2 linked regions of the Elephas maximus indicus genome follow. The protein of the gene in region 2 interacts with the protein of the main gene of each other region in a biochemical or structural test. Links are inferred from orthologs where the notes say so. Each region holds a gene or a part of one and is shown on either strand. Other genes may lie near its edges.

Region 1 (3,743 bases), on a different chromosome or scaffold from region 2:
GCCTGACACGCTTTTCTCGGGCAGCGGTCTGGTACCCTTTCTGAGGCAGTTCCCCAAACTGGGAACTAGTTCTGTGAGCTGAGAGGAGGGGAGGAGCTTAGGGGGGCAGTGCTGGCAGGCTGAGAAGGATGGGCAGCCCCAAGCCAGAGAGGGCGGCAGTGGGAGGAAGAGAGGACAGGGCTCCTGGACTGGTGACAGGGGCCACTCCACCAGGACGTTGCAGCAGGAGTTAGAAGCCAGAAGGCTGAGGGATCCACTGAGCTTACTGTGCATGTGTCCATGCTCAGCTTGGGGTGATGGAAGCTGTGGGGGTGCCTGGCCTTGGTGCACCTGGCCTTGGGGAACAGCAGATTGCCTGGTGTGGACAGTGCGGGATGGGAGAATGCAGTGTCCCGTGACCTCAAGGTGTCCCTTCCTGAGGCTGTGTTTGGAGAAGTCAGCAAGGAAAAGGGGCCTGGTGGATGTTGGTATTTTGGTCCTAGTGGCCAGGCACTCTTGGGAAGTGACAGCCCAAGCGTGGTATAGCCTGAGCTGGCTCTCTTGGGGTGTATGAGTGGTTCCTGGCCCTGGAGCTCAGGGATTCATCAGGTTGGCCTTGTGGTTTGCCCTCAGGGGTGCCACACCCCCCAAATCTCACATTTGGTCCCCTGGGGCTTAGAGATGTTTTCACACTTCAGGGAACCCTTTGCTGGAGTTGTATCCTTTAGGAAAATGCAGGTTCCGGGAGGATGTTGTTTTTGTCTTAGGACTTCTTTGTGCTTGAGTGAAGGTTTAGACTCTCATCTCAGAGTGCCTTCCTAGCTGAGGGCTCTCTGGAGGAGGTGGGCCTGAAAGGCTGGTGGGAGCTGGGCTGGGGCATCCACAGTGTCCTCAGGTGTGCCTAGCCCACTGGGGCTGGCAGGCCAGGATGAACTCTGCTTCTGCCGTGTCCAGGCTGTAGGGTTGGGCACAAGGGGAAGGGGATGCCGTCCAGACCACTTCCCTTTCCTGATCCTCAATTTGGTGGGTGACCCAGGGCCCTCGGTGGACCCTCGGACAGCTTCTCCACATGGTGGGCTCAGCCTCTGGGAGGGTGCAGGGTTGGTCTTTTGTCAAGAGGAGGATTTTCAGTTGTGCAGGTGAGTGGATGACCCGCCTTCAGGACTGGGTGGAGGAGGCCTGGGGTGGGCAGCTCCTTCTTAATCTGCCTCTGGGACCCCCTTCCTCTAGTTTCTGGAGGTGCCCTGGAGTCCTAACCCCCAGCCCATCCCCAAGGCTATCTCTGTCTTCTGGGTGGGCAGAGGCCAGAGGGCCAGAGACCCTGGCTTTGCTGAGACCGCGCACACTGCGTGTGCTCATGCATACACGCATACAGCACACCTTTGATTAGGAGCAACTGGCTGCGCTTGTGCTGAGTTCAGGCCTTTTGTGGAGGGTGAAATCTGTCGAGGAGGCACTTTTCTGCTCGCTCCAGCCGCCACACTCGGCACTTTTCTGTGTGATCTCTTCAGGAAGTCATCGTTGTGCTGAATGGGGGGGGGAGGGGGTGGGAAAAGCTGGTGCCAATGCCGCCTGGGGCCACCTTTGCCTGGGTTGTGCAAAAACCCAGGGCTGCATCCCTGCACCTGTTCAGGCGCAAGGCTGGTGAACTCCTCCAGGCTCCCAGGGTGTGCAGGCAAGGACTTTCTGGTCTTCAGCCTCAGTCTCCATCCTTGGACCATGGAAGTACCTCTGGCCTTTCCTCCCCACTCTCACCTGTGGGTGGGCAGTTGGGTATGAGATGTGAGATGGGGTCTCTATCGAGTGTCCACCAAGAGCCCTGGGTCACCCCTACCTTAGCTCCTCTGAGGAAGCAGGAAAGCCTACAGCCCACATTGCCTCAAGCTCTGGTTTCCTGGTGCACCCTTCACTCCTGAGCCACAGCTCCCTGGGCCTAATCTGGAAAGTGGGGGGCAGAGCAGGAACGGAGGAAAGTCCTGGTTTACGGGTCTGGAAGGGGTAGCTGTGCAAAAATGCCCTGGTCATGCATCAGTCAAACACCTGAGGGTGGGGCAGGAGGGTCCCCGTGTGGATGGGGTGGCTCTTTGTCTTGGCTTCCTGGCTCTGTGGGGACTGACCTGGGATGGCAGCCTGAGTGGTCAGTGACCCCAGGGTGAGGGGCTGCCCACTGAGCAGGGCCCTGGTGGCTGCTGTACAGGTCCTTGTGAAATCCCCGATGGGGTGGGGCAGGGGTACTGGATGCTGCAACTTCAGCCCAGAGGCCAGTTGCCCCATCAGCGGAAGAGGCAGACAGAGAGGGCCGGAGTGGCCTTGGGTTGGGCGCTACTACAAGGTAGGGTGCACCTGAAAAGGGTCAGAACTCGTTGGGTGGCCCTGTCCCCACCTCTGCACAGTTAGATCTCTGGGGGACTCTGGTCTTCTCTGCCGAGTCCCCAGTGGGGACAAGCCCCCAGCCGTCCTGGGAGCTGGGACTTTGTCCTAGTGGCAGCTGGAGGGAGGACCCCGGAACTTGCGTACTCAGGGTTGCTGCACGGCCCTCACCTGCTGCTGGCCTGCTGGCCTTCCTGCTGGCTGCTCCCACAGGTCCCCTGGGGCTGGGCTGGCTGGCAGGGCCCCAGAGTGCCCGTGCTGCTGGGCGGGAGTGGTGATATGCTGAGTCAGCGTGACTCGCCGGGAACAGTCACTCTGGGGCGTGCACGCAGGGTTATTTTTAAAGGTCGTGGCTTCCTTCTGGGCCAGCCCCTCCTGTATTGTCGTCCTTCTGATCTCCCCTTGCCCCTTTTCTGGTCTCTGCCTCCCTCACAGCTGTCAGTTCCCCTGCCTAACAGACCCTCTTGGCCCTCCCCACCACCTGAGTCCCAAAAGGCAGGGTGCACAGAGAGCAGCCCCACCTGCCCCGAGAGGCCTGCTGACGGGCTGTCCTGGGGTCAGGTAATGGGGAACAGGCTGGTGAGCTGGCGTGGGATGGGCAGGTATGGGAGGCTGACGGGGGGTCTCCGGCCCTGACTTCTGCCTTGTGTCTTGCAGAGAGAGTCTGCTCACTGCGCCCCCGGGTTATGACGACCCCCAGTAAAGGAAGCAAGGCCTTGAAGGTGAGTGGGGGACGGGGTGGGAGCGCCTGGGGTGGGGTGCCATGGGAATGTGCCACCCTGAGGGAGTGCCCCAGGTGAAGCGGGGCAAGGCACAGCCAGAGCGTGCTGCCCTGACCATGTGCCGTCCACCACAGGTGAAGCGGGAGCCTGGCGAGAATGGCACCAGCCTGACGGACGAGGAGCTGGTGACCATGTCTGTGCGGGAGCTGAACCAGCACCTGCGCGGCCTCTCCAAGGAGGAGATCATCCAGCTGAAGCAGCGCCGGCGTACACTCAAGAATCGTGGCTATGCGGCCAGCTGCCGCGTGAAGCGGGTGACACAGAAGGAGGAGCTGGAGAAGCAGAAGGCGGAGCTGCAGCAGGAGGTGGAGAAGCTGGCCTCGGAGAATGCCAGCATGAAGCTAGAGCTTGACGCCCTGCGCTCCAAGTATGAGGCCCTGCAGAACTTCGCCAGGACCGTGGCCCGCAGCCCGGTGGCGCCGGCCCGGGGCCCCCTCACTGGCGGCCTGGGGCCCCTTGTCCCTGGCAAGGTGGCTGCCACCAGCGTCATCACGATAGTCAAGTCCAAGACAGATGCCCGGTCGTAGGGACGTGCGCGCCCCGGTGGGTCAGCGAGGGGCCGCCAGGCACGTGGTGAGCTCGGCAGTCCTGTCCCCCTTTCTTCCCTCTTCC
Region 2 (3,743 bases):
ACACCCCCTCTCTTTCTCCCAAACAGAGCTCACAGGTGAGAGACATGAGCTTGGCAGGATCCCTTCCCACCCCAACAAGCAGTAAACTCCAAGGGGTGCTCAGCTTCATCACCCTCCCTAGAGAAGAAAGACACACGGAAGTATATTTCTGCAGAGCACTTTATAGACCAAATGTTAGACAAGACCTGGAGGATGGAAACCTGGGAAACTGAGTCACAGAAGAGCGTTTCCAGCCTCCCCTCACATACTGGCCTCAAGGTGAACACACCCTAAACAAAAAAACAAACCCAGTGCCATCAAGTTGATTCCGACTCATAGCGACCCTATAGGGGTCGCTATGAGTCTATGAGAACACACCCTAGAGCCTCTAAATGCCAGGTGTGCCCATTGTCCACTCTAGTCTAGAAAACTCAGTTTCTTCCAGGCTCAGGGTTAGAGAGTACCTTTATCAGAGGAGAATGAAAGAAATCCTCATTACCAGTCCCACCCTTCTGGGTCAGGTCAGTCTGTGGCCTCCGTCTTGGTTCCCCGGGGCACCAGGAAAATGGCCCCATCAGCAGCCTGTTGCAATGCATACTCCTCAGGGGAGTAGCTGTTGCCTGCTCCATCCCGCAGGTGCTGGAAAATGTCCTGATACAGCTGGGTCAGCTGTTGGCGCATGGCCTCCAGCGTCCGGTCTGCCTCCCCACGGGCCCGAAGAAGCCTCTCCCGCTCACTGCCCAGCCGCTCCAGTTCCCGCTCCAGCTGCACGATGGTCTCCAGCTTTCTCTTGCGGCAGTTTTGGGCGGCCACCTTGTTCTTGCCCCGCCGTCGGATGTCCCTGACTAGTGCCAGCTGGCTCTCAGTCAGTGGGTACCGTGCCAACAACTCATTAAAGTCATCTACCGGCAAGTTGACAATCTTGTCCGTGGGAAAGGGGATCTTCATGGCCAGGGCCCTACGCTCATCCCGGCTCCCTGCCTCTCCCCGTGCAGTAGGCTTGGCCCGCACAGGGCCTGAGGAGGGCTCTAAGGCCAGGGGGGTCTCAGTAGGTGGCAAGGAGTAATTGGGATGGGCCAAGGAGTTTGGCATAAGTGAGTAGGGGTACTCCACTGGGTACATCTCTACATAGTCGTTGCGCCGCCGTCCAGCCTCTGTCCCCTCCAGCTCAAGAGATTCAGCATCACTATAGTTGAGGGATAATCCCGAGTCTGATTCTGGGTCTTCTTGGGGCTTGGGAGTCCCCGCAGGCAGCCCAATGTCCAGGAGGGCCAAGGGGTCTGAGAGGGGTTCACTGAGCAGGCCTGAGAGGGTCAGTGGCTTGGAGACTGGTATGGCCATGTTGCCATAGGAGTATGGGGAATCTTGTACATGGGATGTGGGTGCTGGGAGCTCATAGGGTGGTGGAGGAAGGGGAAAGCCAGCATCGGGGTGAATTGAGCAGGGGCAGTAAGCTGGGGGTTGTGGGGGCCCAGGGTATGGGGCTGAGGCTGGGGACTCAAACGATGGCTCACTTGGAGTGTTTAGGCCCTGCAAAGAAAGACAAAGATGTTTGGAGACATGCTGAGGAAGAGATGCCAGCTCTTTCTCAGGCCCAGGCCGGGTCCTTCCGAAAGACCCAGTGAGACAGTAACAAGGGAACAGAAAGTTGCTAAAAATCATCAGAAGCTTCTTATAAATCTGTGATGCATCTGTTCCAAGAGGAAAGCAGCTTAAGAATGGAAGTCACTAAGGTCAGATTTCGGAAAGGACTACCTTACATTGGAACAATTATGGAATCTCCTCAGACATTCTTACTGGGTTAAAATGGCTCACGTTCTTTTGTTTCCTTCAGGAAGACAAGGAGCTGTTATCCAAGATGACCTCGCAGAACCTTGCTTGCAGGGAGTTATCCAGGGTCCAAGGGTCAAGTTCAGACCCTGGCCTTGCTCCAGGTGCCCAGCAGAGGGAGCTGCTGTGTGGGAGGAAGGCCTGGGGCAGATCCTGAGGATGCCAGGCAGTGATGGCAGGGGAAGGAAGGAGGGCGGGACAAAACCAGGGCTGGGAGCTAAGAAACACCCCGGTGAGCCAGCCCAGGCTCTGCCCTCTCCTCTCCAGGCTTTCTGTCCCTTCCTAGGTGCAGCAAAGAGGAGAGAACATTCTAGAAACAGGGCCCCCAACCCACTTCGGGGAAGCCACCCTGCTCCAGCCCAGCTGGGGACAAAGGCACCATTGTTCAGCCAACAGACACCCCTTTGTCCAACTAGCCAGAGGAGAGGACCCCAGCATAGTCTGACTACCCTTCCTGAGGCCCCTGAACTACTACTGCTCTGTTACCTGAGGGAAAGGGGCCTAGCTACTAAGGGCAGGGGGAGGAAAACAGGGAAGATGATGGGCAGCATAGGAGGAAAGAGAAGGTGAGAAGGGGAGGCTGGGGAAAGAGAAAGGAGGTGGGGCAGGAGGTGGGATAGAGTGATGTGAGCAGAGTGGCTGCGGAGAGAGCCTACCCCCTCAATCAGATCCTTCCCTCTTCACCACTCTTACCCCCTGCTTGATATTCTGGTCTCATTCAGATCTCCCTCAAACTCCAGCCCTTCCTTCTCCAGTGCCTGGAACATTTTCAGTTTGAGACCCTGGCCCTGCTCCCTTTAGCCCCTGCCTCAGTCCAGCCAGAGCCCTTGCTTCTCAGCAATTCTCCTCTACTGCCCCACCCTCACCCCTACTCACCTGCAGCTCAGTGATGGACATGATCTCTTGCCAAGTCAGTTCCATCTCGCCCAGATCCGGAGTAGGCAGCTGTGTCACCCTGTTCCTGCTGTGCTGGGGAGGACAAGGGGGCATCCTACTGGCCCAGGGCCTAGTTCAGGTTCCTCCAAAGCCCAAACGGCCCCCAGCAACCTGTGGCAAAGAAGAAAAGGTTAGGGTCTCCACTGCTAGCGGTCTGCACCTTTGTCCTCCCTCAATTGAGTGGTTACCTCCAACTTCACCTGAGGGAAGGAGAGAGCTTAGCCCCCTCCCTCACCTGTGCTGGACTCACCCAACCAACTCTTTAAGCTGAAAGGTCTTTTTCTGCGGTGGACTTCTACCACACTTGCTGTGGCCGCAGGCAGTTCCTTTGGGAACACAGTTGGACTTTGCCTTTTTTTTTTTTTTTTCAGACAAGATGCCTTCTCTTTTCCCTTAGTTCTTACTCCCCAAAATTGGCCAGGGGCAGAAGTCAGAACTTCCGGGTTTTTTTCTTTTTTTTTCTCCTGTCCTCTGGGACATCAGGGGAACACCCATGCTTTCCTCATCCCGTTTTAGAGTCTCTGCCTTTTCTTCCCAAGATGAAAGTGAGTGCTTGGGAATCCCCAATGGGCGTGTTGTGGGAAGAGTCAAGCAGACAGCCCTTCCCCCTCCCTGAGATAGGGCCCAGGCCTGGTGGCTGATAGCAGCCCTGCCTTCGCCTCCTATCCTGGTCCTGGGCTCCCCTGCCTGTGCCAGATAAGAGGTTTATCAGCTGCATGCAGCAGAGGAGGAATGGGCTCTGGAGACACTGGACCTCTGCCCCGTGTCCCCGCAGGGTCATCTTGACCATTCCCCAACCCACACAGCCAGGGGTCTTTCCTCTTCTGAGGTAATATAAAAAAAAAAAAACATAGCAAAGACTTATTAAGCACTTGTCAAGAATTGTGCTGGTGTTTTATAGGCCTTAGTTTATGAGATTGATTTTTACAAAGCTCATCTAAGTTCCATTCAGGAACTGAGACCCAAGCTGGTCAACGAAAGGGTTAGGTCTAAAGCCT

The links. The genes of interacting proteins can lie anywhere in the genome.
Region 1: the proteins of NFE2 (region 2) and MAFG form a complex in vitro, tested with the Homo sapiens proteins (2 studies listed by BioGRID and IntAct, with this or other methods). The link is inferred for Elephas maximus indicus from reciprocal best matches to the Homo sapiens genes NFE2 and MAFG.

What each region holds. Positions count from the first base shown.
Region 1 is NC_064837.1:71,712,951-71,716,693, reverse strand, and holds the start of MAFG (transcription factor MafG), read left to right. Parts: upstream 1-1,535; 5' UTR 1,536-2,217; coding exon 2,218-2,311; exon of another isoform or gene 2,312-2,928; intron 2,929-3,006; coding exon 3,007-3,071; intron 3,072-3,205; coding exon 3,206-3,658; 3' UTR 3,659-3,743. UniProt on the Homo sapiens protein: Since they lack a putative transactivation domain, the small Mafs behave as transcriptional repressors when they dimerize among themselves.
Region 2 is NC_064822.1:109,787,841-109,791,583, forward strand, and holds NFE2 (transcription factor NF-E2 45 kDa subunit), read right to left. Parts: upstream 2,686-3,743; intron 1,934-2,685; 5' UTR 1,642-1,933; coding exon 502-1,641; 3' UTR 142-501; downstream 1-141. UniProt on the Homo sapiens protein: Component of the NF-E2 complex essential for regulating erythroid and megakaryocytic maturation and differentiation. Binds to the hypersensitive site 2 (HS2) of the beta-globin control region (LCR).